4 linked regions of the Tamandua tetradactyla genome follow. The protein of the gene in region 3 purifies or fractionates together with the protein of the main gene of each other region. This does not show direct contact. Links are inferred from orthologs where the notes say so. Each region holds a gene or a part of one and is shown on either strand. Other genes may lie near its edges. The genes, in order: RAF1, CCT7, ILK and GCN1.

Evidence for each region.
Region 1: the proteins of ILK (region 3) and RAF1 purify together in Homo sapiens (affinity purification with mass spectrometry; 3 studies listed by BioGRID and IntAct, with this or other methods). This does not show direct contact. The link is inferred for Tamandua tetradactyla from reciprocal best matches to the Homo sapiens genes ILK and RAF1.
Region 2: the proteins of ILK (region 3) and CCT7 purify together in Homo sapiens (affinity purification with mass spectrometry; 4 studies listed by BioGRID and IntAct, with this or other methods). This does not show direct contact. The link is inferred for Tamandua tetradactyla from reciprocal best matches to the Homo sapiens genes ILK and CCT7.
Region 4: the proteins of ILK (region 3) and GCN1 purify together in Homo sapiens (affinity purification with mass spectrometry; 3 studies listed by BioGRID and IntAct, with this or other methods). This does not show direct contact. The link is inferred for Tamandua tetradactyla from reciprocal best matches to the Homo sapiens genes ILK and GCN1.

What each region holds. Positions count from the first base shown.
Region 1 is NC_135335.1:36,145,945-36,153,869, reverse strand, and holds the start of RAF1 (RAF proto-oncogene serine/threonine-protein kinase), read right to left. Parts: upstream 3,387-7,925; 5' UTR 3,276-3,386; intron 1-3,275. UniProt on the Homo sapiens protein: Serine/threonine-protein kinase that acts as a regulatory link between the membrane-associated Ras GTPases and the MAPK/ERK cascade, and this critical regulatory link functions as a switch determining cell fate decisions including proliferation, differentiation, apoptosis, survival and oncogenic transformation.
Region 2 is NC_135343.1:46,877,304-46,884,835, reverse strand, and holds the start of CCT7 (T-complex protein 1 subunit eta), read right to left. Parts: upstream 3,255-7,532; 5' UTR 2,385-3,254; coding exon 2,379-2,384; intron 1-2,378. Other genes in the region: PRADC1 (protease-associated domain-containing protein 1), read left to right, coding at 3,580-3,646, 5,322-5,422, 5,925-6,034, 6,274-6,441, 6,648-6,768. UniProt on the Homo sapiens protein: Component of the chaperonin-containing T-complex (TRiC), a molecular chaperone complex that assists the folding of actin, tubulin and other proteins upon ATP hydrolysis.
Region 3 is NC_135334.1:80,041,947-80,050,030, reverse strand, and holds the start of ILK (scaffold protein ILK), read right to left. Parts: upstream 3,153-8,084; 5' UTR 3,041-3,152; intron 2,667-3,040; 5' UTR 2,575-2,666; coding exon 2,486-2,574; intron 714-2,485; exon of another isoform or gene 663-713; intron 1-662. Other genes in the region: RRP8 (ribosomal RNA-processing protein 8), read left to right, coding at 3,330-3,428, 3,945-4,305, 4,553-5,006, 5,093-5,222, 5,398-5,504, 5,584-5,680, 5,907-6,026. UniProt on the Homo sapiens protein: Scaffold protein which mediates protein-protein interactions during a range of cellular events including focal adhesion assembly, cell adhesion and cell migration.
Region 4 is NC_135331.1:20,497,511-20,505,134, forward strand, and holds the start of GCN1 (stalled ribosome sensor GCN1), read right to left. Parts: upstream 3,204-7,624; 5' UTR 3,179-3,203; coding exon 3,161-3,178; intron 1-3,160. Other genes in the region: RPLP0 (large ribosomal subunit protein uL10), read right to left, coding at 4,375-4,539, 4,898-5,038, 5,949-6,134, 6,239-6,385, 6,515-6,602, 6,711-6,886. UniProt on the Homo sapiens protein: Ribosome collision sensor that plays a key role in the RNF14-RNF25 translation quality control pathway, a pathway that takes place when a ribosome has stalled during translation, and which promotes ubiquitination and degradation of translation factors on stalled ribosomes.

The sequences.
Region 1 (7,925 bases), on a different chromosome or scaffold from region 3:
CAGTAAACCAATCAAGACCCACTCAAATGGGTGGAGACATGTCATCCCCTAATCCAGTTAAACAACCATTCTTGACTAAATCACATCAACCAGGGAGATGATCTCATTACAGTTTCAAATATACAGTATTGAATAGGGATTATTCTACCTTTATGAAATGGGATTTATATTAAAACATGGCTTTTCTTAGGGGGCATATATCCTTTCAAACCAGCACAGTAGCGTAGCCATATACAAGGGGTACCAACTGAACTGTGACACAAATAGCTAGTATTACATTTTTTTAACCCAGATGAGCAACGAGGAATTCTTACCTATCCATAGGCACATACACTCACGGCATGCACGAGCACACGGCGCCCATACGCATGCATACACACTCACACAGAGTAAATTATGACTTAAATCCTGAACGAAGCCAATGTTCCTTGACTTTCCAATTAATTTCGTCAAGGTAAGCAATTTTCCAACTACGGTTATTTGTTTTGAAGAAATTACTTCCATGATCTAAAAGCTTTTCAAGTCAAAGCTCAGTACACCATCCCTCTTCCCCCACTCCACTGTTACATTAGTCTACCACCTTTCAAAGGCAATATTTAAAATTCTCATCTGCAAGTCAACGTTAAGGCATGTTGCTTGGCAAACAAGCTCCTCCCAAGAATAGTATTATTGTGTAGGGCCTATTATGTCTCTAACATGCAAATAAAAGTATTCCCTTGTGTAATATTTTCCTATTTTTAGGCTACAGGTCACTAGCAATGTTTTATCTGAAATTAAAATATAGACTCATACATCTACTAACTGGACACTTGAAACAGTAAATGAAGCTATTACTTTTATTTCCTATTTCATAAGTAATCTAGAGCTTCTAGAAAAGTCAAATTTAACATACAAGAAGTATGAAGTCATTTTTTTAATCTTCAGAGCAAACCACCTACATTGGACTTCACAAATGGCATGTTTTAAACTAAAAGCAACAAGGTTCACAGCAATTCTAAGGTACCGGATGTGTAACCATTCTCTATTTCATCTTCTAGATACTTTTTGTCATAAATGACAGGCTTAATCAGCTTTTCACTTAAGTTTTCTTTCTGCTAAATTAAATCCCATAAAATACCCTCAAATATTTCATTCCAGCCTTCTACTTTGAAGACGAAAAGTTTTCCAACTATGGACAAGAGCTTAAGATTACTACGATTTATAATCACAAACGCCACACACCGAATAGATACATTTTCAGAACAGAAACAGTAATAGGTTTGTACTCCCAACTATCCATTGTTCAACTGGGTCAAATGTTTCTGTTGCATTTTAAACAGCTTAGCCCTTGACATGATAAGGGTGACAGCCAGCCAAAGACTTAATGTTCTTCAGTGGTATATAATCACAATCCTTTAAGAAAGATGTGGGAACTACCAGCTGAAGTCTGTTAATATGTTAATAGCAACTTTAGCATAAGAATTAATCACAATAACACAACTATTTTAGGAAAATTATGTTCATAGAGCTTCAGATTTTATATGAGAATTGGAACCAGGATACGAGAAGTGGAACCCGAAGACCCATTTTACAACGTAAAACACATCTATTAAGCTAAAAATAGTCATTTGCATTCTACACTTTTTTGGATGTTATATATAATCTGCCAATTTCTGTATGACTGGAAACATTGTTTATGTTGTGAAACAGCCACTTAAACCTGAGAATTAACAGTGTGTGCGACATTTAAAAATTCACTTTTTTGTGTGTCACGTTAATGAGCAAGCATTAACGTGAGAAAAATGTTTTGCAAAATTCCCTAGGAATATGAGCGCAGTCCATTCACCGTTGCATAAATGCAAAACATTTTATCTAAACCATTTATCAAAAATGCTCTTAACTGGGTTAAACAAAGTAAATCTTTTCAAAAATTACTGTTAGTTTCAAAATCATGAAGGGAGGGGAGAGAAACGAGTTTTCGGTAAGAACAACGAAACAACACCACCAATTTAGAAGAATCCAAATTAAATCAATTAATTGACCGCTACCTCCAATAAAGAAAAACCCTTCCCAATCTAGCAACTTTTCTTTTGGATTCTCAACTCTCACCATTTCTCCCGGCAGACTATTTGCTCCTCCCTAAACTCATCCCAACTCCGGCAGCTTCTATGCCTTTATATCTCAGCTTAGAAAATGCCTTTCCCCTCCTCCTACCTGGTGAGGACTTACTCATCAATCCTTCAAAACTCCGGGCAAAAGTCCCCTGAAGTGTACAAGCTTCCTTAGCTCCCCCAGGCAGAACTAGGTGTTCCAAGTTTCCATAGCATTCGGAAAGCCAAACCTCATCACAAGGCTTTCTTCTCTCGTCTTGGGAGCGCAACGAAAAGGAGACTTCCTCCCTCAGTCATTAGAGTCAAGGCAGGCAGAAATGCTATGTGAATGTGCAAGGAATTCCTTCTCTACTTAGACTGCGTGACCCCCTGGAACCAGATCGCATCTCAAGGAGACAAACGAGATCCTATCATTCTTCCCACCAGAGAACGAATACCAGAGGGCACACCCAGAGTCCTGGAAAAAGAACAATGAATGAACACAGAGCCGCCTCGTCTCTCACGACGTCCAAACTCCTCTTGGTCTCCGGGCATCGACTAGCTCTGCAGATTCTCTGCAGTTACAGAAGTGAACCATCCTGGCGGCTCTTCCTTGGCACAGAAGATAGCCCTGGTTCTCCCTTCCAAAGCATCCCGGGACCAATCCTCAGTCTAAGCATCCCAAACCTTTCATTAATAACCCACAGAGTCCTGAAACCAAGGCGAGGCCCTTCTGTCTTTGTGGTGAGGCACTGACCCATTTCCTTTTCTCTTCCCGGATTCCTTTCGTCTTCCCTAAGAGGGTGTTACTTAGTGATGAACCCGGAGAGAAGGCGAAAGCATAGTCCCCAACTCCGCCGCCAGATATAAAAGAAACAAGTCTGTCCTAATGACAACGATACGGCGAAGCTCTGGGTGGATTTTCCCACGGCCAAAACATGAGGAATGTGCACTGGGCACGTAGGTGGCACTGAAACGTTTCCCCGACACACAACGAAATCTGAGTGGGGATGTGGGAACTCGGGTCGCCGGCCATGACACCGGGCCCCCCACCCGCCCAGCGCCACCCGGGGTGACAGCGGCCTGGCCCGGGCCCTCAGCCCGGCAGCTGCCGGGTCGCTCAGTCAGCGCCGCCCCCGCCCGGCTCCAGGGAAACCCGGCCTCGCTCCCCCGGCGTCCAGGGCCGGGCCAGGCCCGGCCGCCTACCTGAGGGAGACGGGGCGCCCGGGTGTCCCGACGTCCAGCGGCGGCGTCTCGTCCGCTCCTCCTCCCCGCGGTGGGTGAGGGAGCGGGAGGCGGTCACATTCGGCGCGTCCCCAGCCCGGGGGACGGGGCCCCGGGCAGACCCCGCATCGTCCCACTCACGCTCCGCGCCTCAGGGCACACGCCCCAAAGCCCGGCCAAGGGCCGGAGGAGAGCAGAAGGGAAGACGTCCCGCTTTACGCTCGCTCTCGTTTCACTCCCGCCATCTAAAATGGCGGCCACAGTGCCCGCGATGAAGAGACTCTCGGACAGCCCCGGCAAGCGAGCCTTCCGCTCGGTACTCTTCCTCCCGACCTGCGGGGCCTCCGACTCTGCTGCGGCTCCAGCCGCCTGAAGGCCCCACTTAGAGCTTGGCTCCGGCATCGATCGCTGGGCCTGATCTCAAGGCCCGCCCCCTGGGGAAGGGGCGTGGCCTCGAGCTCCCGACTGCTGCAGCCGCCATTTTGGAACCGAGCAGGTTGCCAGGGGAGCGAGGAGCTTTCGAGTGTAGCTCCCGGGGAGAGCCCCAAGGCCTGGATGGGGAGAGAAAGCGGCCTGGCCGAGAATTGCGTGCTTGTCAGCATGTTGAGTCTCAGAGATGACCACATGTACACGTGCAGAGAGGACAGTATCCAGCTATGGTGCCTCCTCTCAACAGTCTCACATCCGATGCCGAATCATGGCTCCGCCACTTACCAGTTGCCTGGGAAAATTCCTAAACCTTTCTGAGCCGCAGTTACCTCAGTTGTAAATGAGGTTCATCCCCACCTCCACCAACTCCCATCAGACTGGCAAAAAGTTAAAGGACTGATATCCAGTTTGGTCCTAGGTATATGCACACCTGTCACGTATCCTCATACAGCAGTGGCAGGAGTGAATAGGGAGGGCAATTTGGGATTATTATTAACATTTTAAATGTAAGCGCCCATGCTCCCGGCAGTTCCATTTATAGGCACTCGTTCTAGAGAAATACGTTCACACTCGCGCAAAATGGTATGTGCAGAGATGTTTATTGCCATATTGTTTGGATTAGAGAAACAATAGAAAAATGTAGATTAAATAGGAAACTGGTTAAATGATGCCACACCCACAGTGTGGAATATCCCAACTGTTTAAAACAATACACTAAATCTATATACTGATAAAAGCAAACAAAAACCCTCCAAGATATGAAGTAAAACAAAAAAAAAAAGGCTTTTATGCAAGCACATGCATACAAAGCTACATGTTACATTCATTCTTTTAACTATTTATTGACAGCCTGTTACATACCACACATAGCGTTTAGGTATTAGGAAATCAACAATAATCAAAATCCCTGTCTCCTAGTAATGGGAAGAAAAAATGTGTAAATTCAGGTAGGAATATGTGCACTACAAGGAAAAATGAAGGAAGGTAAGGAGTTAAGGGCAGTGTGCTGGTTTGAAATGTTGTATGTACCCTAGAAGAGACATGTCTTAATCCTAATCCCATTTTGTGAAGGCAGCTGTGTCTTCTAATCCCTATTCAATTTTGTATGTATGAAACTGTAATTAGATAATCTCCCTGGAAATGTGATTTAATCAAGAGTGGTTGTTAAACTGGATTAGGTTAAGGCGTATCTCCACACATTTGGGTGGGTCTTGATTAGTTTCTGGAGTCCTATAAAAAAGGAAACATTTTGGAGAATGAGAGAGATTTTTGAGAGAGCAGAGAATGACATACCCACCAGAAGCAGAGAGTTTACCAACCAGCTATCTTTGGAGGTGAAGAAGTAAATGCCTCCTGGGGAGCTTCATGAAGCAGGAAGCCAGGAGAAAAAGCTAGCAGATGACACCATGTTCGCCATGTGCCCTTCCAGATGAGAGAGAAACTCTGATTGTGTTCACCATGTGCCTTCTCACTTGAGAGAGAAACCGTGAACTTCATCAGACTTCTTGAACCAAGGTATCTTTCCCTGGATGCCTTTGATTGGACATTTCTATAGGCTTACTTTAACTGGAACATTATCTCAGCCTTAGAACTGTAAACTAGCAACTTATTAAATTCCCCTTTTTAAAAGCCGTTCTGTTTCTGGTATATTGCTTTCCGTAGCTAGCAAATCAGGATAGGCAGGAACATGTGATCCTGCATGAAAATAAAAGCCAGGGGAAAACTGAGGCATGGAATGTGGAGAGAACCCTGAATGGGGTATTTTTTTTCCAATAAGAGTGATAACAATAACTCTTACCTCATAGAATTAAATAAGATTGTGTTGTGTGGAGAGCATTTAGCACACCGCCAGACGGTTGAGACTTCAGTAACATGTAGCCAGCCTGCCTGAGTTCAAATCCGAACACTGCCACTTCCTGATCTGGGACTCGGGGAAGTCACTTAAACCTCTCAGTTTCTCAGTATCCTCATCTGTAACAAAAATGTGATAGTTTTTAAAAGTTGTAAGAATTTAGTGAATTTAAGGTGTAAAGCACTTAGAATAGTGCCTGGCCTGTAGTAGTAACATTAAATACAGTTAACTATAATTAAAGCTATCACTTATCATCACCACCATTGTCATCAGCATCAGCATCATCGGGTGAGGCAGAGTGACAGGGTCACACTTGGCTCATTCCCAGGTCATGCCTTCCTTTAATTTCCTCCAGATGGTATTTTCCAAGCATTTTGCAGCTTAGAAAGCTCAAGAAGACTATGCCTTATTCAGACCTCACAGCTGATCTGGAAAGATGGCTACACCTTCGTTTTTTAGATGAGGGACTAGAGACTCAAAATGTTCAATGACTCAAGCCAGGTCACCCAGTGCAGAATCAGGGAGCTTATTCTGACTGCCAGACCAGCCCTTCCCACCATCCCTGATTTGAAAGCCTGTGGAAGAGATAGAGTTGAATCAGACTTTCCCCCAGCTGTCAGGGAGCTCCCAACCCCTATCATGGGGAGGAAAATGACTCCAGGGCCTCCCCATCCTTTGTGTTAACTCCCCTCACCCTTGTCAGTTCAGCAAACAGCTGATGTTCACCTTTTCTCCCGCTGCCTGCAGGTTGATAAAGGTCATTTCAGCAAAAGCTTCTATGGCCTGAAAAATTGGGAGGCTCCATGTATTCTGTTCTCCTCTTCAGAGATCCCAAAGCATCTGGTAACAGGGATTGCAAACTCAAGTGCCTGCAGGTACTAGGCAGATGAGATGAATGAGTAAAGTGGACATGGGGTGGGGAGCTATGGCCCTTTGGAAATGTAGGTCCCATCTAAAGCAGGCAGCTACCACTCAGCCACCACAATGGTTACCAGAGAGGGCTGCAACCCAGTGGTGGTGGCTCTTAGGGTTTTGTCTTTTTTTTTTTTAGTCAAAAATCAGACTTTTATTTTTTTATTCATTCTATAAATATTTATTGAGCACTGAATTATGTACAGAGTACTATCCTAGGTGCTTGGACACATCATTAAACAAAACAGACAGCAGTACCTGCCCTGAAGGAACACACATTCTAGAAAGAGGAGATATTAAAAAATAATAAAAATCATAATAAATAAGTAAAATATGTAATTTGTGAATAAATGCTTTGGGAAAAAATAAAGCTGGGTGAAGGGGACTGGGAGGGGGCAGGTTACAAAATGAAAGAGGGTGGCCTCACTGAGAGGTGACATTTGAGCAAAGACTCAGAGTGAGCCATGGAGATGTCTGGGGGAAGGGCACTTCAGGCAGAGAGAATAGTTAGTGCTTGTCCGAGGAGCAGCAAGGAGGCCAGTGTGGCTGGGGTGGATCTAGTGAAGAGTGAGAGGTAGAAGATGAGGTCAGAAGGCCAGGACGAAAGATGGTACAGGGTCTTGTAGACTTTTGGAAGAACTCCCTTGTTTTGAAAAGCTTTGGCTTTTACTCTGAGCAATATGAGAGTCATGGGACGCAGCTTTTTAAGTTAAAACACCTGTGTGTGGCTGCTGTACTGAGATCAGACTTAAGAAATCAAGAGTGGAAGTGGGGAAAACAGGAAGTATCAGAAAGTCCAGGCGAGAGGTAGTCACGGTGGCTCAGACCAGTAGAGGTGGTGGAGATGGTGAGAAGTGGTTGGATGCTTGGCTACATTTTGAAGGTTGAGCCAATGATGGTTGATTCTCCAATGGCTTAGAAGTGGATGGGGTGGGAAGAGAGAGGAAGGAGGGGTGAGAGAAACAGAGAAGTCATGGGTGACCGTAAAGTTATATGTTAAAACAAACAAACGAACAAAATACACTGTGAGGGCCTAGGGAGAAGATTCAGCTCTTGGGCCATCACTTCCCAATCTCTGCCCTAAAGACTCATGAGATTTAAAATTAAAATAAAGTCCTTAGCCTTTTTATGGAGCCATGAAAAAGCCAGTGGACGCTGCCATGTTCACGAGGTACCTTCCCAGTTGAGAGAGAAACCTTGAACATCATCGGCCTTCTTGAAACAAGGAACTGAAGTGAAAAAAATTGATGCAATAAACATTCCTTGCACACAGCTTTCAATGTCATTTTTTAACCATTTATACGATGAAGACATTGTATGAGACAATGGGCATGTTATTAAATGTTCAGATTCTTTTCGTGATTCCTTTCTCATTTCCGATGAGTTATGAAGTTTTGCTAGTGAAAGACTGAGAAAAATATGAGGTGTTCAGCCAACTA
Region 2 (7,532 bases), on a different chromosome or scaffold from region 3:
ATACTCTTTGTTTCCCCTTGCTTACAACTTTTATATAATTATCCATCTTAAAGTATGAGCTACCCAACAAGTCACCTTGATTTGCAGAATACCTAGATTCGGCCATACATGAAACAATATTCTGTTAGAGATAATGGAAAACTTTTAGCAATAGATGGTGGTGATGGTAGCACAACATTATGCTTGTAATTAATACCACTTAAAAATGGCAGAAATGGGGGGGAGGAATGGCAACCCTTAACAAATTCTGAAATCTGTTCTGTATCTACTTGTTGAAGTGTACTTTGAAAATCATTGCTTTTTCTTTTTTTCTCTGTATATATGTTATATTTAACAATAAAAAACATTTGAAGAGATAGGAGGAGAGGAGGGACTTGGAAGCACTTGATCATATACTCCCCAAATTCCATATGCTTTTAGGCCCTACAGAAATGGCTAGTTGAGTAGAGGAGAGATCCTATGGAAAGTTAAAGATGGCAGAGCTAGAGTAAGCCAAATTCAGTCAAGAAGGAAGAGTCCTTTACTAGCTATGACAAGCCCAGCTTCTGTCCCCAAGTTACTTTTCAATATCACTCATTTTACTCTTCAAGAAATAACAGAAGAATCCAGCAATCCGCCAAGGTTATCATGAAAGGCTTAGGAATTTTAGCTTGATCTTTCTCCTCATCCTCTTTAAAAACGGTTTTTGCATCATTAAGCTTAATGGTCTATAAAATCAGATCAGGTGCTTATAGGCAAAGACAGATGGTGCTCACCACCACAAGCAACTACTTGATGAGCAAGCTGTACAACAGTCACACGACTGAGGTCTGGAGAATCCCTTGTACTATTCTAGAAGGCTTCTATAACACCAGGGACCAATTTGATGACAGAAGGGTAGGCTCTTGGTGAAAAAGAAGTTTTGCACCCCCAAAGAAAGACAAGTTTCAACAGTCAATAGAGCAGGACAACTGATAGAGATGAATGAATAAGGGTCTGCTCAGGTAAAAATTCGAGCATGGTAGACTGAAGCCCCCTGGCGAAGGATCTTATCACCAAAGAACTTTTGTTCTAATCCCCAGTGCTTGGAATGCCAACCCATACCACAGCAGGAAGGTTTACAGGGAGGAAAGGAAGTAAGCAACCAACTACCCAGAATAACAGCTAACATACATATAGGCATGGCTCTAAGCAGTCTATTCTGTATGTTGCTGATACACTTAATCCCTTATAACAGCACCCTACTTATTGCTATCCCATCTGATTGAGAACCAAATCCTAAATAACATGTTCAAAGACTCATGGCTACTAAGTGGCAGAGCTGAGTTACACACCTAGGCATTCAGTGTGACTCCAAAGCCCTTACTTTCAATTGCTAGATGAGTTCATGCATAGGTAATGTTGAAGATATGAAAGAAAAAGGTGCTGGAGGTACGATGTGGGGAGATGGTTCAGATAAAGCTCAGCTTTCTTCTGTGTTGGGCACAAGCTGGAGGCACTGAGCACCTTATAGGAGACTGACATCTACCAAAAGAGGGAAAGCTGAAGGAAGCAGGAAAAAAACAGAGACTGAATTGGATGGACAGACCAAAATGAATGAGTAAATTGCCACGTGCAAGGGGATAATATCTTAATCAGCGTTTTGAGAGCAAAAACCTCTCCAGATGTCCTGCTCAAAAGCAACTCATCAGATACATGACAGGCTTGGGACCTACTGAAGGCATTTGCAGCTCTGAGATGAAGAGGAGACCCCGAGTTAGGTGACCAACTAAAAAAGCCCAGTCTAATGTCACATCAGGAGGTGCAGACAGGGCGAGGGTCGAAGTCTGGGTCTCCCCACCTCTGAGTGCGTTGTCCCTACCTGCCCTGCTCATTCTCCTGGCTGCGCAATTGCACGCCGAGCGAACAGCCGGACTTGTTGCATTAAATAGGCACTAAATATGCATGTATTTAATGAGTGAGTGAATGAATGAATGAAACCATGAGTGGAGGTTTCATACTGCCAGCGCCCATTCTCGGAAACACACAATGTTTTTACATTTCACATTTTTTAAGGCAGCCCGAACTTCCACGTCCGGCAGTCGACCGCGTAAGCACGCTCGACCCGCGGCTGATTCACACAGGACCCGAAAAGGGGACTCCTAAAACCGGGGCTCCAGAGTACGCTGTGGGCTACCCCAGCGAGCCCAACCGGCGCCTCCCCGCGAGCCCCACATATCCCTGGGTCAACGGCCTCCGTACCCGGGCCAAGCCTGGCCGGGGTAGTCCACAACCAAGGGTCGGGGAGAAGACACAGCCAGGAAGCAGGAGAGGGCCCTAAGAGGCGAGTTCTGGCCAGCAGGTGCCAGCCACGGGTCGGATGGCGGTGGATGGCAACGGATGCGCGACACGCCACTCACCATCATCTTGGAAGCTTATTCGGTCGCCCGCCACTTCTCTCTTCTCCAGGAGCGGGCCGTCCAGCAATCCCACAATTCTCCGCGCCACAGAAATCCACAGAAGCTCCGCCAAGCCGTTGACCCGGGAGAGGAAGGGGACGAGCCACTTCCGCCACTCTATGATTCGCCTACCACAGAGAAGGCATGGCTAGAAGGACCAGAGGCTGGGCCTCGGAGAGCGCTCAAGGTCCTCCAGCAAGAAGCGTTAGTTAGCCGAGCGTAGTGAGGTTCCGGTCGTAATTTTCTCTTCCGGCACGTACAATCCTTGCTCTGCTCGTGTCACCTAATCCTGATTCCGTTCCCACTCTCCCCCACCCCGGACGTCAGACCAAGGAGTGCAATAAACGCAAAGTTATTATTGAACGCTAGCTGTGGGACCGGCCTATGCTAAATCGTTTAATTCTCCCATTCCTACTGCCGCAATCCTATTATTATATTCACTTTACAGGTGAGTATGATCCAAGTCTCAGAGAGGTGGTGTCCAAAATTACCGCTAAGTCGATGGTTGAGGAGAGGCGTGGGAACCCGACCCCAGTGCGTTTTCGGGCTTTGCACTGGATTGGATCTGGGCCGCCCACGTCCCCAGCAACCCCCAACAGCAGCGCGCAAAAATGGTGGAAGTGGCCAGAGGATGGGCGGTGGCCAGGGTCGCTCGACAAGTGCCTCCCGAGGGGACTGGGAGGAGGGCAGCACATCGGCAAATCGTTGTAATGCGAGGAGGATCCGGCCAAAACTGCAAGAGCTGACGGCCAGGTTTTCAGCTGCCGAGGCAAGTTCCGCAGGGAAGCCACCTCCCCCACCCCACCCGGGTCCTTCAGTCCAGCCCCCAAGTCGGCGAAGTCCTGGCAAGGCGAATCCAGACGACGACGTGCGGGGCGGGGCCGAGGTGAGGGCCGGCAGTTGCTGTTAAGAGTTTAAACCAATCAGCCCTCGGGCTCCCTTCTCTTGACCAATAGGAAGTGGGTAAAGGCGCAGAGGCAGAAAGTGTGACTACACAAGCAGAATTCAGAGCCAATCAGTCGTGGACCTCGTTTCCGTCCGCCAATAGGCGGAGAGAGCGGGCCCGTGGGCGGGAGGCGGGAGTAGCTGTCAGACTGAAGTCTGGAGAAGGACTCGCGGTGGGGTGCCGGGAGGAAGCGCAGGGCCGAGCCCGGCCCTGGAGATGGTCCCGGGTACTGCGGGCTGGTGTTGTCTCGTGCTCTGGCTCCCTGCGTGCGTCGCGGCCCACGGTGAGCGGCAACGGGCGGGGTTGCGCCGCGGAGCGGGACTGGCCGTCCAGCTTGCATGCGTCTCTGACCGGGGGCCACAGGTCACCTTGGGGATCCCGTGAGTGGGGGGCAGACCTAGGGCCGGGTAAATAGAGTGGGCGGGCGCTGGTCTCCAGGGAGTCGCGTTGGGCGCAGCGCGAGGTAGGGCCCTGAGTCCTCAGTTACTGGCTTCGAAGCAGCTGTCGCCCCTATATTCGCGCTGACCCAGATGACTGAGGGATGTGACCAGGAGACACAAGTAACAGCTGGAGATACTACACTCTAGACATATGTGAACACTCACATCCATATACAGGAGCAGACGTTCCTAACAATTGTACATACAGCCTATGCATCCACATGAGCACATACATGTAGACACCCATATTCACAACAAACGAAGACCCACACTTAATTTACGCAGACTAAGCAGAGGCCAGGCTAGACTGTATATTGGGTAGGGGGGTATTTAGCCCTAAGGCAGGAAGTCTTCCTGGGAGTGTGTCCAAGGGGGTCCACATTCCCAGGATAAAAGGCTGTAGCCCAGAACTAAGCCAATGAACTCTACCAGGAGGCTGTGATTTGGGCACTAGATAAGGACAGCTAAAGCCACAACCAGTCCCAAGCCTGTCACTCCTTAGTGGTTTAGTAGTCTGTTGACTAATGGAACTATCCTCAACCTCGCTAGTTTAAGGAAACCAGAGACTTAAGACCAGGTAACACATTAAACTTTGTGTGCTGAAGTTCCCACATTCGCGGGAAATCTGGTTTTTGAGCAGTTCTCTTCCTCGGGATATTGGAGCTGAAAATGTTGTCATTTGTTCATTCAACAACCTTTATTGAGCACCCACTATCCCAGGTACTGAAGATACAGCATTGAGTGGATCTAGTCTTATCCTTGCCCTAGTGGAGGAGACAAATATTAAACAAAAAATCATGACAGTGTACTATGTACTTACAAATTAGGTTGAAAGCACCAATGGAGAAAAAGTACAAGCAGATCTCATTTTGAATGGCCATAAGGCAGAGCCTTTCTCTGAGAAAGTGACATTTTCTAAGCTGTGATTCAAAAGATGAGTTAGGAGTGGGCCAGGTAAAGAGGTGGAGGTGGGGTGGGGTATAGATAGAAAGCCTTCTGGATAGAGGGAGCAGCTTGCAGGAAGATCCAGAGAAGTGAAGAGTTTGGATGGTCAAGAAAATAAAAGAGGCCAGTGTAGCTTGAACATGGTGAGGCCAGGGGTTAGACTGCGCAGAGTCTTATTACAGACCATGGTTAGAATTAAGATTAAGTGCAAAGGGAAGTGGTTGAAGGTTGAAGCCCTGTGAGTGATGGCATGATTTTATTTGTTTTAAAAGTTAACTCTGGCTGTTGTTTTAAGAATGGGCCTTAAGGAGCAAAAATGGAGACAGGTAGACCAGTTAACAAGCTGAACAGTCAGGGCAAGAGATGATAGCAATTAGACTAGGGGGATGATATGAGAATGGCGAGTCTCCAGTGCAAAGACCAACTATCCCACCCACCTAGGATGTCCAATCTGCTGAGGCAGGGCCCCTGGACCGTACTGTTGCCAGCTCAGTTGAAGTCACAGAATCTGTGATCTGAACCTGAACCAGCTTATACTCAGGAGGCCTCTCAACTGTACCCTTTATCCTTCAGGTTTACGCATTCATGATTATTTGTACTTCCAAGTGCTGAGTCCTGGGGACATTCGATATATCTTCACAGCCACACCTGCCAAGGACTTCGGTGGGATCTTTGTAAGTTCACGGAGGCCCCCTCCTTTCTGATCCTCAATCCCCCCTTCCCTGAGTTACAGTGTCCCTGTCATCCCTTCAACCAATACCTGAGTGCTGCTACATGCCAAGGGCTGGGATGGGGAAAGGAAGAGAATTCAGCTCTGCCCTCCATGGGTTACAGTGCAAGGAGGAAACATTTCAAGCTACTCCTAGGGGCACTGCAGAAAGACAAGCTCTTCTTTACAGACAAAATAGTGAGAAACCAAGGGCACCGGCTTTCTATTACTCTACCTCTAGTATATGTGATTTAAGGCAAGTCACTTCCATTCCTCACCTGTCTCATAGCAAGGGAAGGTGGGGGAGGACAGGCCTTTGTGGGAGTGAAGTAAAAATGCTTAAGTGCTTGGCACAGAGCAGCCATTCCAAGTTTGCTTCAAGCTGTGAGGAGCAATTAATTCAGAAGCTTCAGTCTAGTCCTAAACAGGCATCTCTTTACATTCTCACCCGGCTCAACGTCTTTCAGCACACGAGGTATGAACAGATCCACCTTGTCCCTGCCGAACCCCCAGAGGCCTGTGGGGAACTCAGCAACGGTTTCTTCATCCAAAACCAGATCGCTCTGGTGGAGAGGGGGTAAGGAGGGGCCTAGGGGAGATTCTGGGATCTTCATTGTTAGTGGTTCTTTGAAACAGGTGGTTCTGGGCAATTTGTTGTTTTAAGGGTCTTAAAAATGTATTAAGAATTTCCACATTTTTTTTGGCTATTTATTTATGAGCTATTATTTAAAAAAAAAAAATTCTCCATGGTGCTTTTTCCATCCACCCATGTGATGGCCTAATTAGAACCCTGTCTTTCTGTCTCACTTCTTCCAGGGGCTGCTCCTTCCTCTCCAAGACCCGGGTGGTGCAGGAGCACGGTGGGCGGGCAGTGATCATCTCTGATGATGCGGTTGACAATGACAGCTTCTATGTGGAGATGATCCAGGACAGCACCCAGCGCACAGCTGACATCCCCGCCCTCTTCCTACTCGGCCGAGATGGGTGAGGGCTCCTTATCCCTGATTCTGTCAGCACCAGCCTGAGGGTGGAGGCCCAGGGCAATCACCAGTCCCTTCCCTCAGGCCTCATCTTGGGGTGCCCCAGGGTGAAAAAAGTCAAGCTCTGGAATTGTTAGAGTGATGGGGACACTGGGGCATAACAGGGTACCAAGAGGGTGACCATCACCACCTTTCTTCATGCCCTCCCAGCTACATGATCCGCCGCTCCTTGGAACAGCATGGGCTGCCATGGGCCATCATTTCCATACCAGTCAATGTCACCAGCATCCCCACCTTTGAGCTGCTGCAACCACCCTGGACCTTCTGGTAGAAGAATTGGTCCCACATTCCAACCATAAGCAACTCTGGACTGGGAAGGGGCAACCCAGGAATTTTGCTGTTTGGGAATTGGGGAGAGCATTTGGGGATGGGGGTGGGGGGAGGACTGCAGATAGAGGAGAAAAGGCCTGGGCCTTGGCTAGGCTGAAGAAGGGAAGCCACCCTACTGGCCTTCCTTCCCTAGAGCCCCAAGTGTCTCATGCTACAGGAAGAGGCAAGAACCAGGTCCCATGACGTCTGGGTAGTATATGGAAAAAGGGTAAAAAGCAGGTGGCCTGAGAGTCACCTGTGACCTGCCACATTCCACCTGGCTCCAGCCTCTCTCAGTAAGGATCTTTTCACTTTGCCCTTCACAGCCTCTCCCCCCCCCCCACCCGGCCCCGCCCCGGCAGCTGCTGGAGGGGTCTAAGGACCTAGTGTTTGGGGACTCCATAAACCCTCACTGACTTTTCAGCAATAAAGCTACTCATCAGGGTTGCAAGTGTGTCCTACAATAAGAGCACCAGGGGTGGGAGCGGCCCTCAAAGCCCACTGGTCTGGCCCCATACTTTTGTTTTAAAGAGAGGAAATTGAAGCCTAGATAAGATAAATAACTGCTGGTCTCTGATCCCAGTTCAGCCTCCTACTCAAGAGTTGAGAAAGCCCTACGCAACAGTAGTTTAGACTCCTGGGGAGAAGACTTATCTTGTGTTCACAGGGCCCTTGCTCTTGGACTTTAGGGACATTTGCACAGCAGCATGATGAGACCAGAGATGA
Region 3 (8,084 bases):
AAGAAGAAATGCTTTTGATAAGTCATTACTGATAGGGCAGATAAACTATCACATGAAACAGAGATTCCCCTACTAATAGCAATCCTGGGCACAGAAAATGAAGAATGGCTGCTTTGGAAAAAAAACTGTACTTGACTCTTCTTTTTCCTTAAGGGCACAGGTGTTATAAAGAGAAAGTATTTTTAAAAAATACCAAAAAAAGCACAATTGGGTGGGAGCTGGGCCTGCCTGACAGACAGCCTGGGGCCATAAAAGGAAATTCCCTGCAGATCCAAGGGGTGGAGCAGGGGGCGGACCGTGGGCTGGGCTGGCAGCCTGAACATGCTTTAGTGCTGTGGTCACTTCCCGTGTGGGGGCTCTAGGCCGGGTGAAAGCCAGCCTGTTCAGGCCACCCCAGATGGGCTCCTTAAACTCAGACACGCCCACAACTGATGGAGGTGGGAGGGTGTGACTTCTAATTTACTGAGCTTCCTCATCTGTCCATACAGAGATAGCTGAAAGTTTTCGATGGAGGTTGGTATCCCCCAGAAGCAAATATCACCCCCTGCTTATCAGCTGGTCTGCCTCCCAGCTCTTTAATTTGTGCCCTGGTTTACAGGCCTCCAGTAATCTATGGCTCTAGAGCCTGAGGGCAAAAGTATGGGCACAGAGGTTCTGCTTACTGTCAAGGCTGCCTGTCACTTCAGGGCCTGGACTTCCCATCCCACGAAGGCCTGCAGGGAATTAACCCCACTTCATATCCAGTACATATCCAGCTTGGACCCTCAAACCAAACACCAAAGCCTTCACTAATGCCACCCCTTCACCTTTTGACAGTGAAGACTATTCCTGGATGCTAGGCCCACCGTACAGCTTTGCCTATGCCTTTATAACCTCAACAACAAATAGCAATTTTGTCTTCATCACAGCACCCTTTGAGGATGTTATGAAAAATGGAACAATTGTACTTTGCAAATTATGAGGAAGAAATTGTGTAGAACCTAAAGAGGACCAGTGAAGCCTGGACTAAGACAGGTGACCCATACCTCTTAAAAAACAACTCTCCAGACCTTAAAAAAAAAAGTGACCCTCTCACCCCCTTGAATCACCATCATTACCACTTTTCTTGCCTTTCAGTCTCAGCCAACTTTAAACAATTTGTCTACATTCACTTTCTCTATTTCCTCAACTCCCATTCACTTTTCAACCTGCCACAAGTCTGCCACCTTGAGGGCAGAGATAATGTCTGATGCTGGGCCTCCAACAACCAGCACAGAATATGTTTGGTACATTTCCTTAAATGAATAAACCCAATGTAGTCTGGTTTCTTGACCTATTCTTTCCTGAAATGGCCCTCACCAAGATCATCAAATATATCCTAATATATAGGACATATATATTAGCTACTTTAGAGTGTTCACGTTCCTGACCTCTCAGCAACCTATACTACTGTTGACCACTCTCATTTCATTGAATCATTCTCTTCTCTACACTTTACTAACACATTTCCACTTCTCATTCAACCTCTGAATGCTCCTTTTCAGTCTCCTCACAGGTTTCACTTCCCTGACCTCGTCTTCTGCTTTTCTGAGGCTCTCTTTAATAGCCATGTGTTTTGGTAATCATCTACATACTAATATCCCCCAAATGTGTGTCTTCAAGTCAGATCTCGGTCCTGTACACAAAATCTGTGTAAGCAGCACATAGCACTTCCACCTGGATGTATTGTCACCTTAACTTTAACATGTCCAGCATGGAACCCATCATCTTCCTTCAGTCTTCTCCATCTCAGTTAAAAGGAACCACCAGCTGTCCAAGCCAGAACCCTGGTCACCGTCTTTGACCTTCCCCATATTTGATATCAAGTCCCACCAATTCTTCCCAAAGATTTCTAGAATATGATCATTTCTCTCTTTTTCAGCTGCTCACATTCTAGTCCAAGCTGTCATCACTTCTGGGACTAAGCAATAATCTCCTGATATCCACTCTTGTCTCCTCCCACCTGCTCCAAGCATCCAAGGTGATACTTAACAAATGGACAATTTCACATCACTATACAGCTTTAAACCCTTACTCTTCAAATAAAAACCTTACTATAGCCAAAATAACCTTTGCATGGTTTTAACTGACCTCTGCAGACTTCTCTAGCCTTATCTCCTGTCGTTCTCCACTTGTACCCAGTGCTTCAGCCCACAGAAAGTCTTCTAACCTCTAGCCACATGGAACTGGAGACAATTTCCTGGTACTTTCCGCTATGTTTCTTGCCCCTTAGCCGGTTACAGTTCACTGAGACTAGAAAGCTGTCTGCAGCCTCTGCTGAGAAACTCTATTCATCTGTCAAGATTCAGCTCAAACACTGCCTCCTCTGTGGGGACCCTCCGCACTCCCTCAGGCTATGCTTAGCACTTATTACAATGGATGGCAAAGTCGGCCGCTGACCACCCCATGCTGGAGAGAGAGGCAGGTCTCTGGCCTTCCTCTCACCCACCAAGTCGCCTCAGCTCACCCCTGATTGAGGTCGTTCTCGGTGTTGTCCAGCCACAGACGCACGGCAACCGCGTTACCCTCCCGGCACTGAGTGAAAATGTCGTCCATAGCGGCGTCTCGGTGTTGTGTCCCCTAGACTGGGGAGGCCTGGGGGCTGTGGAGGGATCCAGGGGAGGGAGACGAGCCCCAAGCTTTGGCCCCTACAGGAAAGAAGTGTTCGTGTTGGGGGCCGAGGTCTGGGCGCCGAATCCCTGGGTTAGGGGAAGAAGTTGGGGCGGCGGGATAATTCCTGACTGTCCCCTCTGGGAGTGAGGGAAAGGCGGGTTCGGGTGGGATAAGGAGTGATAAAGAGGTAGCGTCTCCAAAAGGGATGTCCTGCAGGCACGGAGACCCCCACCCGCGAATAGGACTGAGGGGGAGGGGAAGGTCCAGCAGGCGTATGCCTGGGGGTGGTTATCCGGAGTCCTCCCGGGGTGTGGCACCCGTTTCCTCCTCGAAACTCAAGTGGAGTAAGGGGTAACGGATTGGCAGGGCCCCAATCTTGGGGAGGGGGCGCGGATACCCCCGCACTCACCGGGACTCGGGCTGCAAGCTCCTTCTCCGGGGAACTCCCGTCCGGCCGCGCCCGCCGCCCGGCCCCGCCCCCGCCCCTTGCGGGCCAGCGGGGCGTCACTCCTCTCCCTTCCCGCCTCCTCCTTTGCCCTTCTAGCTCACAAGTGTCGAAACTCTATGGTTTCCGGCACCGCGCCGGCCGCTCTAGCCGCCCCTGCTTTCACTCTTTGGTTTCCGGTTCGGTTCCGGCTTGTGCAGGCTCTGCACGTGGAAAGGCTTGCGGGTCCCGCGACCCGGCCTTCCCGGCCCGCATGTTCGAGGAGCCCGAGTGGGCCGAGGAGGCCCCAGTAGCTACGAGGCTTGGGCTCGTAGTTTCACGCCCTCGGCCTGTGGCAGCATCGCAAACCAAGGTAGGGGAGTTGTCACGCAGAGCATTGGTTTCAGGCCGCGAAACCGAGTCTGGTGGAATCCCCGCGTAGGGCTACGCCGTGTGTGTGTGTTTTGGAGAGGAGGGGATGTGTGTGTGTGTGTGTGTGTGTGTGTGTGTGTTTTGGAGAGGAGGGGATGTGTGTGTGTGTGTGTGTGTGTCTTTTGGAGAGGAGGGGATGGACCTGCGGCGACATTGGGGCAGCGTCTGGTATGAACATTCAGGAACTTGCAAGAGCAAATAATGTTTGAGTTGAGAGATACCTGTTGATGATTAGAAGTTAGTGACCCAAAGAGGGGTCCTTGGATGGGGAAAACTTGTGCAAAGGCCCTGGGGCGGGAAAGCATAGTCTGTTATGGTCAGGGTATGGCAGGCTTCACAAACTAGTTAAATCAACTAGGAAGCATCTAGTCACTTCTGCCAGCATCTGAGTAGGAGGACCGCTCTCTCTCCCTCCTTGTTCTCCAGGCCCCTGCGCTCATGGCTGGTTTTCTTCCAGGCCCCCAGGCGCCGCCAGCTCTTGGCCACGTTACGGGCCCTGGAGGCCGCAGCCCTTCCCCAGCAACCTCGCAGCCCGCCTGGCAGTGACTCAGAGGAGGCGGAGGTGGACAGGAAGAAGAAACGTCTGCCAAAGGCCTCATCTGCTCGTGCCTCTGCTGAAGTAGGGGAGAAAAGGAAGAAGAAACATCAGAAACAGGTCCCACCTGGCTGTGACTCTGAGGAAAAGGAAGTGGGAAGGAAGTGCTGCAGACGGGCTCTTCTTGGCAGTGACTCTGCTGAGGAGAAAAAAAGAAAGAGGAAATGTCAGAAACAGGCCCCTTCAAACCCTGCCCAGCACCGGGACAATGTTGATCCAACAGGTACTATTGAGTATATGTAGTATGTGTGGTGTGGGGGAAGGAAGGGCACACAGACAAGGAGAGCTCAGCTGATCTTGCATATGACAAAAGCTACCTGCCATCTTTAGGATTGGGATTAGGCAGTAAGAGGTACTTTTATCCAGGCCACAGTCCCTATTTCAAGGACAGGGGTATGACCAAGATGACTTGCCAAGCCTCTGAATTCGGGAGATCCTCCCCAAAATACTTCCTGTGTCCTTCCCTGCAGGTCCCAAAGCCCAGAAGGATAGTGCTGCAAATGACCTATACAAGACAAGGCCTGGATCCCCTTCCCCTGAACACCCCCATACTTTGAGCCGCAAACAGTGGCGGAACCGGCAGAAGAACAAACGGAGACATAAGAACAAGTTTCGGCCACCTCAATCGCCAGCCCAGGCTCCAGCTCTGGCCCCCACAGAGGAGACAAAGATGCCTCCTTCCCCTAAACCAGTCAGCCATGAGGATCGGGCAGGAGCTCTGCGAGCCCGCATGGCACAGCGGCTAGATGGTGCCCGATTTCGCTACCTCAATGAACAGCTATATTTGGGACCCAGCAGTGCTGCACAGCGCCTCTTCAAGGAAGATCCTGAGGCCTTTCTTCTCTACCACCGTGGCTTCCAGAGCCAAGTCAAAAAGTGGCCACTGCAGCCTGTGGACCGTATCGCCAGGGATCTTCGCCAGCGGTGAATGGGGTTTGGGACCTGTGAGAATATGGGTCAGTCATGGGCTCAGACCAAGCCAGTGAGTGACCCCTCACTCCCACTCCCAGGCCTGCATCCCTGGTGGTGGCTGACTTTGGCTGCGGAGACTGCCGCCTGGCTTCGAGTATCCGGAACCCTGTGCATTGCTTTGACTTGGCCTCTCTGGACCCCAGGGTCACTGTGTGTGACATGGCCCAGGTAAACCCCTCTAGGCCTTACCTCTATGTGCTAATTCCTATAATCACCCCCCATCTCCATCCCCTAGGTGCCAAGCGTAGCATTCAGTGCAGATTTTCTCCTCCTCCCCACACTATGTGCCTACTTCCTCTTGTGTCCAACCATGTGTTTCATACAATACTCCCACTCTCTGTAGGTCCCTTTAGAGGATGAGTCTGTGGATGTGGCTGTGTTCTGCCTTTCGCTGATGGGAACCAACATCAGGGACTTCCTGGAGGAGGCAAATCGTGTGCTGAAGCCAGAGTAAGCCCCTAGAACACTAATGCATGTATATGTGTGCATGTGTATGTCTACACATTTACACAGAACTTTCTGTCCCCAGGGGTCTCCTGAAAGTGGCTGAGGTCAGCAGCCGCTTTGAGGATGTTCAGGCCTTTCTGGGGGCTGTGGCCAAGCTGGGCTTCAAGGTCATCTCCAAGGTGAGAGCTCCAGGAAGTCCGTCTCCATTTGTGTTTGATGTGTGGCCCTTTTTAGGGGAATGATATGTAGAAACTAGGCCATAGGCACAGGAACAGACATTTGTTCCCTAAAGCCACAACCCATGAGAAATCCTGGGAAGCATTCTGAACAGGAACAGGAAACGAAGGGAGATGTTTTGAGGAGCTGGGGGAAGATACGGAGCTAACTAGTCTTTTCTGCTCCTAGGACCTGACCAACAGCCACTTCTTCCTGTTTGACTTCCAAAAGACTGGCTCCCCTCGGTTGGGGCCCAAGGCTCAACTGTCAGGCCTGAAGCTTCAACCATGTCTCTACAAGCGCAGGTGACCTCTGGACCCTCTCCAAAGGGGAGGCATGGCTTGAACTCCCAGCTCAGAACCCTAAAGACTTTAACCAGGTTGTGAGCCAGGACCTGATACCAACCTGCCCTCATTCAAAGAACAAAGTGATAAAAGCCCCTGGCCCAGCCTCTGATCTAATGCAGCCTTCCTAGATTACGAGTATAAAGTCACTAAAGAATAGGGGTTTATATGTAAAACACAGGGACACCTGGGTATCCTGGATCCCCTTGGGTTTTGTGGAGTCTAGATGGTTTGGGATTCAAGGCATCTTTGAGTTTAGCTCCTTATTCCATCTCTCAGGAGCCACATGAACTTTCTGTCTTAGCATCTCCATTCTCCTCTCTTCCTGTCCTCTCTCTGCAGACCAGCTTCCTGTGCTCACTCATAGCCTTTACTCCTTCAACTTTTGTGTACCCAGGCCTTCAACTCTGCAGACAGTCTGGTATTGCTTTTGGCTCTGGGGCAACTGGTAGCCCACCAGCCTCCTGGCATGACATAACAGTCTGGGCTTCTGGGAAGATGCAGGCTGTTCCCATAGCTATGTGGTGGGCCAAGACTGCCTGGATATTCCCTGTACCATGTACTTCTGCTGCTTCATCTCTACCCTCTTCTCCATCTTGGGAGCCTTATGGACCAAACTACTTCCAGCACCTGTTTTCCTCTGGTGCCCTGGTGTGTATGGTCAAAACATAGATTTTGGAGTCAGGTGGACCTGGATTTGAAACCCAGCCTGCCACTTAGAACTGGGCATCGTTTAATCTCTGAATATCAGAGTCCTCTTGGAAAGTGGTAAGGATTCCTGTCTTCAGGAGTGATTATGTGTGTTAACTAAGGAAATCTGTAACCAGGGCTGGGAACATAAGAGGGCTCAATAAATTGTATTCGTGGCTATGATGTGTTATAAGCCTCATTGTTCTCTGGAGACCTTTGCAAGGCAGGGATGGAGGTTGAAAAATAAAGGATGGATTTGTTCACCAAGGAAGGTCCTGGGAGAGCTCAAGATATGCTCTTCAACAGTCACATTTCATAGGATATTCAGAGATCATTGATGGATTCTCAGCTATGCTTGGAGGGAGTTTGTAAGCAACTGGGGCTCTGTTCATAAATAACAAATAGTTGATGCCATGTTGGGCTGGAGATTAGGGCTATTTATTAGCAGAACAGAGTGTCCGTTGTCTCTGTCTTGCATCAAGCCCAGGACAGCACATCCAGGGAAAGCTGTGGGCAAGGAAGGCTAGCGCTAGGGGTCAAATAAGCTGGGATGATCCATCCCAGGCCTCCCCCAGAAGGCATCTGCCTGAATCCCAGGGTAAAGATGTAGTCTCTTCTATCTGCAGTAACAAGAACAGGGTAGGTAGCCATTGGAAGGACATAGCTTCCAGGGCTCTGAGACAGTTGGGTACCTCCAGTAAGGGGCACAGGTTTGAGGTAGGCTAGAGGGCAAAGGACATGGTTGGAGCCATTGAGGAGCCACTGCACAATGCCTTTGCATGTGCTATTTTAGAACTCTGCTGACATTCCCGTCTGACTGGTAAAGATTTACTCATCCTTCAAAACAGCCTGCTTGTGTCCTAGTTTCCCGCTCCCAAGCAGAATTAATTTCCTCATGTGAGCTCTCAAAGCTCAAAAAAAAAACTGTCATGTTACTTCAGCATTTAAATACTCAGTCGTGATTGCTTTATGCATGAGGCTGTAAGTCTCTCAAGCCATATTTATCTTTGTATTCCCAGAGCTTGTCATTTGAGATGCACCCAATGTACTTGTTCACTTAAGGAGAGACAAGGATGACAAAGTCCGGTTAACTTGTGTATCCCCCAAAACATGTTCAAGTCCTAACTTCTGGTGCTGTGAATGTGACCTTATTTGGAAATCAGTTATTGAATATGTTATTAGTTCAAATGAAGCCAAACTGGATTAGGGTGGGCCCTAATCCAAAATGGCTGGTGTCCTTATAAGAAGGAGAGAATTGGACACAGTCACACAGACACCAGGGATAATTCCATGTGGCAACTGAAATACAGAATGAAGACCAAGGATTGCTAGC
Region 4 (7,624 bases), on a different chromosome or scaffold from region 3:
GGGAGAAGGATCAGAAGAGTAGTTATAAAAGCAAAGTTAGGATTTAATAAGTGAATATAATTACTGAATCATATTGATGTTTCTTTTTAATCTTCAGTGACTTGGAGCAGCTAGAAGGAATTACCTGAAATTGTGGATCTGTCACCCATACCAAACTTTGAAATCTGTTCTAAAACTACTCGTTAAAACGTACTTTGAAATCTACTGATTTGTATATATATTTCACAATTAAAAAAAAAAAAAAAGATTCAAAAAGAGTAAAAAATTCTGAGGTTTGCTATAAGAACCAGTCCCTTGCCCTAATTCCCCAGGGGCAACCTCTCTCACCAGTTCTGGTTGAATCTTTTGGTATTTGCTTCCCTCTCTAAATGACTTCCTAGTACCGCTAGGCTTGATTTTTTTAGATTAGTGCCTACTTCCCATACTTTTCTTTCCTTTCCCCAAGCCCCAACTCACCCTACTTATTTCCTCAATGTAATTCCCCAATTTCCTAATATGGGGTAGTTCAGTAATCAGTATCTACATTATATGTAAATAGTATCCATATTTTCATTTCATAAACTATGATTATGCTTCTTATCCTACACAGCTTTCAATTTCCCTGGACTTAGTAACTGCCCTTTCCCATTCCTTGCTTTATCTGTTCTTATCAGTAATCCAACTCCCAACTCTTCGCTATTTGTCTAAATCTTAAGACATTTAGGTAAATCAGTCCCTCTAGCTGAGGAAGGCTCTCCGGGAGTTTTCTGACCTGCCCCATCCTAGACTGGTGATCCTCTACAACTGGGGCACAGTTGATTTTCCTGAAAGCTTCACTCTTTCCTGTGTGTGGGTAAAGCACATTCTCCAGGGACATTCTGAGAAAGGAATGAATGAGAGGTAAATCTGTGGAGTCCTTGCATGTCTAGGGTGAAATTATTTACCTTCAGAATTCCAAAGGCAGTTCTCCATTGTGTCATTTAGAGAGGGAAGCAAATACCAAAATATTCAACCAGAACTGGTGAGAGAGGTTGCCATTCTGACTCCTGATCCTTTGTATGAGACCTGAGGATTTCCTCTTTTGCCCAGGGTTCTAAAATCTCATAATGTGCTTTAATGTGTCTATTTCAATCCACTGTGTTGAGCACTTTGGGTCTGGAAACACATCCTGCAGTTTGGGGAATTTTTCTTGAACTATTTTATTCTGTCAATGATTTCCTCCTCTCCAATATGTTCTACTCCCTCTTATTTGGATACTAGACCCTCTTCTAACCTAGCCCTCACAATGTAGTGATCCTCTGTTTTACACTCTCCAGAGAGAAAATCTCTAGTCTTTTGCCAGAGTGGAGTTGGAGATCTGGGTCTCAATTGCATCTAGAACAGACTTTCAACCAATTCTCCTTCATTTAACTTCTCCTCATTCACCCTTACTTCCAGAGGTTAATGGATATCACCAGTCTTTCAGAAATTCTGCAGTGTACATCAGATTGGTTTGCAGCTTTGCCAAGCGTTGCCTTAGTATTCATTTTTCTTCGGTCTGCTAAGTTCTTTACCATTTATCATGGCTTTCTAGCTTTCCTAAGTTTGCTGCTGTTGTCTGCACTCTCATTCTCTCAATCCTCATGGCATTAAAAAAAAAGCTTTACTAGTTTTAGTGGGTCTGAGGAGCAAAAACAGATGCATAGACACAATACACCATCTCTGTAGAATTCCCACATGGCTGTCTTTCCACGTGATGATATTAAATTTCTGGCTACAGTTTAACGGGTAGTGGGCTTTACAGGTTGAAGGCTCTTTTTCTTTACCAGAAAATGAATGTTACAATTTGAAACATTGTCAGTATGAAACTGAGAGTACCCAAAACCCTTCAATGAGCTCATATGCAAACAGCTTTAACGCTCACAGGTTTCTCTCTGGAGCAGTGTTGTCCAATAGAACTTTCTATGATTAAGTAGCCACCAACCACGTATGTCTACTCTGCCCTTGAAATGTGACTAGCATAACAAAGTAAGTGAATTTCTCATTTTATTTAACTTTAACTAATTTAAATAGCCAGATGGCTATTAATTTAAGTTCCCACGTGGCGAATATTTGGCAACACAGCTCTAGAGGAAAGACATTTTTGCACATGAGCATCGATGTTAAACATTCACCATATATTATATACCTGACCTCTGGAACTATTCAAAAGAGTAAGCTTTTCTTTCTAATTCAATATGACACAACCTGAAACAAATTCCCTCCCTCGAACAGGGGAACCTCAATAACGACCTTTTGAATGTTCAAATAGATAGTCACGCTCTGTTCACTCATCATCCAGGAGACCCAAGTATGCCAAACTGTCCTTTAGATATTCGTTTGTGCTTTTTTTTTATTGTTGTTGTTTTCCCCACCACATTGTCTTTTCAACCTTAAACACTCACAAAGACAACCTTAAACATTGTCTTTTCAACCTTAAAATAACAATCAAGTCTGGAGTGGAGGAAAACGATTTTCCCCAAGTTCTTCCCTGACCTACAAGGTACCACTCAAGGGGAACATAAACAGATACCAATCAAGAGGAATTCCTGGGTAGATACAGTTATTTCATTTAACGCTGGATGTAATGGTAACAGTCACTATATATCGACCCCTACTTTATCTCACTGATCCTCAGGACTACCGTGTAAGGTTTGCGGGGGTTAAGTCACTTGCCCAGCGACTGAGAGCGGCGGCAGTGAACTCAAACCCAGATCTGTCTGCATACAGACAGTGCTATAAGTACTTGCACACAGTAGGTACTCGAAAAACATTTACGCTAACTACAAAGTTAAAGGAGGATCTGGCATTGGCCCAGCGCTCAATGTCGGCGGGCTAAAGGGAAATGGAGCGAAGAATTCAACAGACGAACTTCTGCAACTCCAGTGTACAGGGAGGGCTCCACCAGACTCCAGCGGCCGAAGCCGAGGCCGGAGGTCCTGTCTCCTCCAGCTCCGATCGACTGGCGCCGCCCGAGTCAGGAGCCGGGCCGGACCAGGAGCCCTAAAGGACCAGCAGCAAGCAACCCAGGGGCCGCTCCCCTCGCAACCACCACGTCCCGCGGCCCCTCGCCCCGAGGCCAAGCAGCGGGAGCGACCCGACCTGGAGGCCACCGCCCGCCCTCAGTACGTAGCCTTGTTGGCCCAGCGGCCGCCCCCCTCACCTGCGTGTCCGCCGCCATCCTGCCGGCGCTGACCCCGGAATCATTTCCGGAGCGCTTCCGGGTCACCGCGCGAGCCCACGCGGCAGGGCGAGTCCTGGAGCCGGGGCGGGTACCTGACCTGACGTCCCTGGGCGGGACGGCGATCGTCCCCGGGTCCTGTGAGAGCCCGGACTACAGACCCGGCGGCTTCCCTAGGGCCCGCCCCTCGGCTCCAAATCAAGGTGTCCTCCGCCAGGTCTCGTAGGGAGAGGGTCTGTGAAGATCTGCAATACGGTGAGACCTACCCTGCGGCTTCCAACCCGCAAACATAGCCCGCAAGCCCAGCCTGCGTGGATCGTTCCTGAAATCACATTAAGTATCGTGTCGAGAGCTGCTTGGACGCCTGGAACGCAGCCAGGTACAGAACAGCGACACAGATCCTCAAATTTGCAATCCAGTATTTGTGGAAGGTAGAAAGTAGGGGTTGGTTTGACGGGATTCACACTAGCTGGGAGAGGAGGCTGCCTTTGGGAAATCCTCGATGCTCCACAATGGGAGCTTAAGCCAAGGCAATGACTGGGAAGGCCGACCACCCATGGAAGTTGTCTGAATTTTATTCCTAGAGAGATCTACCTACGTTTATAGAATACAATTTAGAGCATAAGGTCTTCATAGCTTCGTGTCAGCCCTTATTAGCAGGGGCTTTCAAACTTTTAAGACCTAGTTACAATAACATAATATCGTAGCCCAGTATACAAGTCTGTATATAAAAATGAGTTTCACAGCAAATCACCCCAAACCTGGTATTTTGTCTTTTAATACTAGTCACTACCTGCTGATCAATGGATCCCCAAATTGTGAAAGGCACTGCTCTCCAGGATGATACCTGGCATTCCTCCACTGCATACTTAAGGACCTACTGTGTATCTTAGAACAGGCTAGTGGTCAAATGGCCCATAGGAACAAGAATTACAGTCAAAAAAACAAAACGAATTTGGGCAGGCACTGGTGGCTCAGTGGCAGAGTTCTCACCTGCCACGCCAGAACTGGGTTCGATTCCCGGTACCTGCCTATGTAATAAAAAAATAATAATTTAAAAAGGACAGTTTAAGCTGGTTTAGAAAAGTTAGTAAACATCAAAATGTACAATAAAGCATCCAGAGACTTTTAAGAGAAGTAAGCCTTTATTTCCTCATTCACAAATAAAGCTAGTTGAGTTGGCTGCTTTTTGGAGACTAGTCAAAGAGACCAAATCCCATATCCTCGTCCGACTCCTCCGACTCTTCCTTTGCTTCAAGCTTGGCTGGGGCTGCAGCAGCAGCAGCAGGAGCAGCAGTGGTGGTGGCAGCCACAGGGGCAGCAGCCACAAATGCAGATGGATCAGCCAAGAAAGCCTTGACCTGAAAACAAGGGGAGAAGTTAGTGATCATCCAAAACAGTCATTGACAACCCCTCATTATCCACAACCCTCCACCCTAGGTATAAAGACCAATACTTCCAAAGCCTGTGTGTGGTCTTCCCTAACAAGACATGGCAAAGGCTGGATATAGCCTTGTAAGAAGGCCAGCTAGGCCCAGCTCTCACCCATTAAATCTTCCAAGTTTCTGGCCATTCCCAAAGTTAGCATACCTCCTCCCCCACCTCTCAACACCAACCTCACTTACACTCTTAATATACCTACTATGTAAACAATTATAAAAAGGATAAACGCACTAAGCAGCAGGTTGCCCCTGTGATTCTGGTGTTATCTTTTTTTACCTTTTCAGCAAGTGGGAAGGTATAATCAGTCTCCACAGACAAAGCCAGAACTCGCTTGTACCCATTGATGATGGAATGGGGTACTGATGCAACAGTTGGGTAACCAATATGCAGACATACACTGGCAACATTGCGGACACCCTGCAGACAAGGGAGAAATTACATTTTAGGCAAGAACATCCTAGGAATAAAGGCAGGGAAATCCAGATAAAACTAAAGGACAGGGCAGTGTGATGGTGGTTCAGCAGCAGAATTCTTGCCTGCCATGCCAGGGACCCAGGTTCCATTCCCGCTGCCTGCCCAAGTTAAAAATAAATAAATAAATAAAAATAACTAAAGGATACTTGTTAAGTATCTCAAACACAAGAGACCTGTCAATCTCATACCTATCACTCCTGGCAAAGCAATTCAGACCCACTGAGTTACAAATGCTTTTTGCCCTTATTCCCAATCTATGTTCTCTACTGATGGGACTCAAAAGCCACCACAATTTTATGAAAAATATAAACTATCAACAACACCTTTTGAGTTCCATGAAAGAGAATCACTAAACAAATTTCAGACATGAACTTTATATACTCATGGAGATTTCTTTTTAAAACGGGTTAAGGTATTACTTAATTGCAAGTTTTTATTTGACCAATAAAGAAAAAACTATATAAGTATCATCATATTTATTAAAGGCAAACTTAATGGCAAAAGTTAGGGACAATCTCAGAAAAAAGGAAAATCAGTCCTTCCAAGGATACCTGGCACTTATGTAAGAAAGCACTGAATTGTCCATTTTTCTTAATTTCTCACAACTACACAAAATGAGATTTTGCAGCCCCTAGGATAGCCCTTACTATGTGCCCAGCACTGTCTTAAGGCTTCACCTTCATTAATTAAATCCTTCAACAAGCATATATTATTGCAGTTTTACATGAAGAAACAGAGGCAGACAAATTAAACTGTCCTTGGTTATACACCTCATTTAAGTAGCATAGCCAAGATCCAGTCTGATATCAATCATGCTCTTCATCATTAATGGAAGGGACAAGACAGTATGTACCTCCAGGAAGCGGGAGTGCAGAGTTTCCTCTGTGATGTCAAGTACTTCAGGGTTGTAGATGCTGCCATTGTCAAACACCTGCTGGATGATCAGCCCAAAGGAGAAGGGAGAGATGTTCAGCATGTTCAATAGTGTGGCTTCACTGGCTCCCACCTTGTCTCCAGTCTTGATCAGCTGCACATCACTCTGAAGAAAAAGACAGCTGACAGTTAATACCTGGGCATCCAGCAGGCCGAGCCACCAAAAGAATACCCCCTACCTGCCAGCAAAGGCAAGCCAGGTCCACTCACCAGAATTTCGATGGTGCCCCTAGAGATCTTAGTGGTGATGCCTAAAGCCTGGAAGAAGGAGGTTTTCTCGGGCCCCAGACCAGTGTTCTGGGCAGGTACAGTGACCTCGCAAGGGGCAATGGCACCAGCACGGGCAGCAGCTGGTACCTGAACAAAAACAAGAGAGAGTGAGAACAGTCTTCCTGCCACAGAACCAACCTGAGAATGGTCAATTTTGCTTTCAAGGAGCCAAAGTTAACAATAAAGTCTCTTTAACTAACCCGGTCCTCCCCTTACCTTGTTGGCCATCAGCATGTCCCTGATCTCAGTGAGGTCCTCCTTGGTGAACACAAAGCCCACATTCCCCCGGATATGAGGTAACAGTCTGCAAAGACAAGTTTACAGGAGATTATCACCTTTCAGCACCATTCTCCAGGAAAATGGAGAAGGGCACAGGGAAAGGAGGACAGAGCTGGCCAGGAAATTGACTGACTTCTCCAGGGCCGGGTTATTTTCCAGATGCCCTCGGATGGCCTTGCGCATCATGGTGTTCTTGCCCATCAGCACCACAGCCTTCCCCCGGAGGGACATGCGGATCTGCTGCATCTGCTTGGAGCCCACATTGTCTGCTCCCACTATGAAGCATTTTGGATAATCATCCAGAAGTTGCTATAAAAATAAGCCCGAAACAACAGAAGTTCAGCAAGAAAAGAGGAAATAAATGTTAGGAGAAACCAAACCCCACAATCCCTGGCTTTCCATTTCACTCCCTTTCTTCTGAACTTCTGAAATTACTTGGAAATTGGGGCAATTCCTCCCACCAGGAAGCACCTGAGTTAGACCAGTGCCAGAATTGTTGAAACTTGCTGACTCGCTAGGTATGAATGGTGATAGCTAGGTTTCTAAGCTCACCCAAAGTGACAAGTGAACAGGAGTATCTTCCATGAACTATAAAACCATAAAGACCTAAATAAATCTAGTTTTAATTTTTCCCAATTATGAGGCATGTTTCTGATTTCACTAAAATAGCTTTCAAGAGGAATAAAAAACTGCCCCAAAAGACCTAAACAAGAAAGATGAATGTACAGCATCCAAAAAACTACCTAAACAGAGCAAAATGTTAACTGTAGAACCCAGATAGTGGGTTTAAGTGCCCTGAATTTCTGAAAATTTTCACAACAAATGTAGGGGGAAAGAATAGAGCACAGTAAGTTGTAAAATACAGCCTAACCCCCAAAGTACAGCATGGTCAACTTTTCTGAGCCAAGAACACCCACAAAACCATCCAAAAGAAACCATTCAGCAAATAGTCTGTCTGGAAGGATTAAATATGCAACAACTTGCCTCCTTGTAACAGCAGTAAACCACAGATCAAAGGAAATGAGTTACTTATTGCCTCAGATTGCC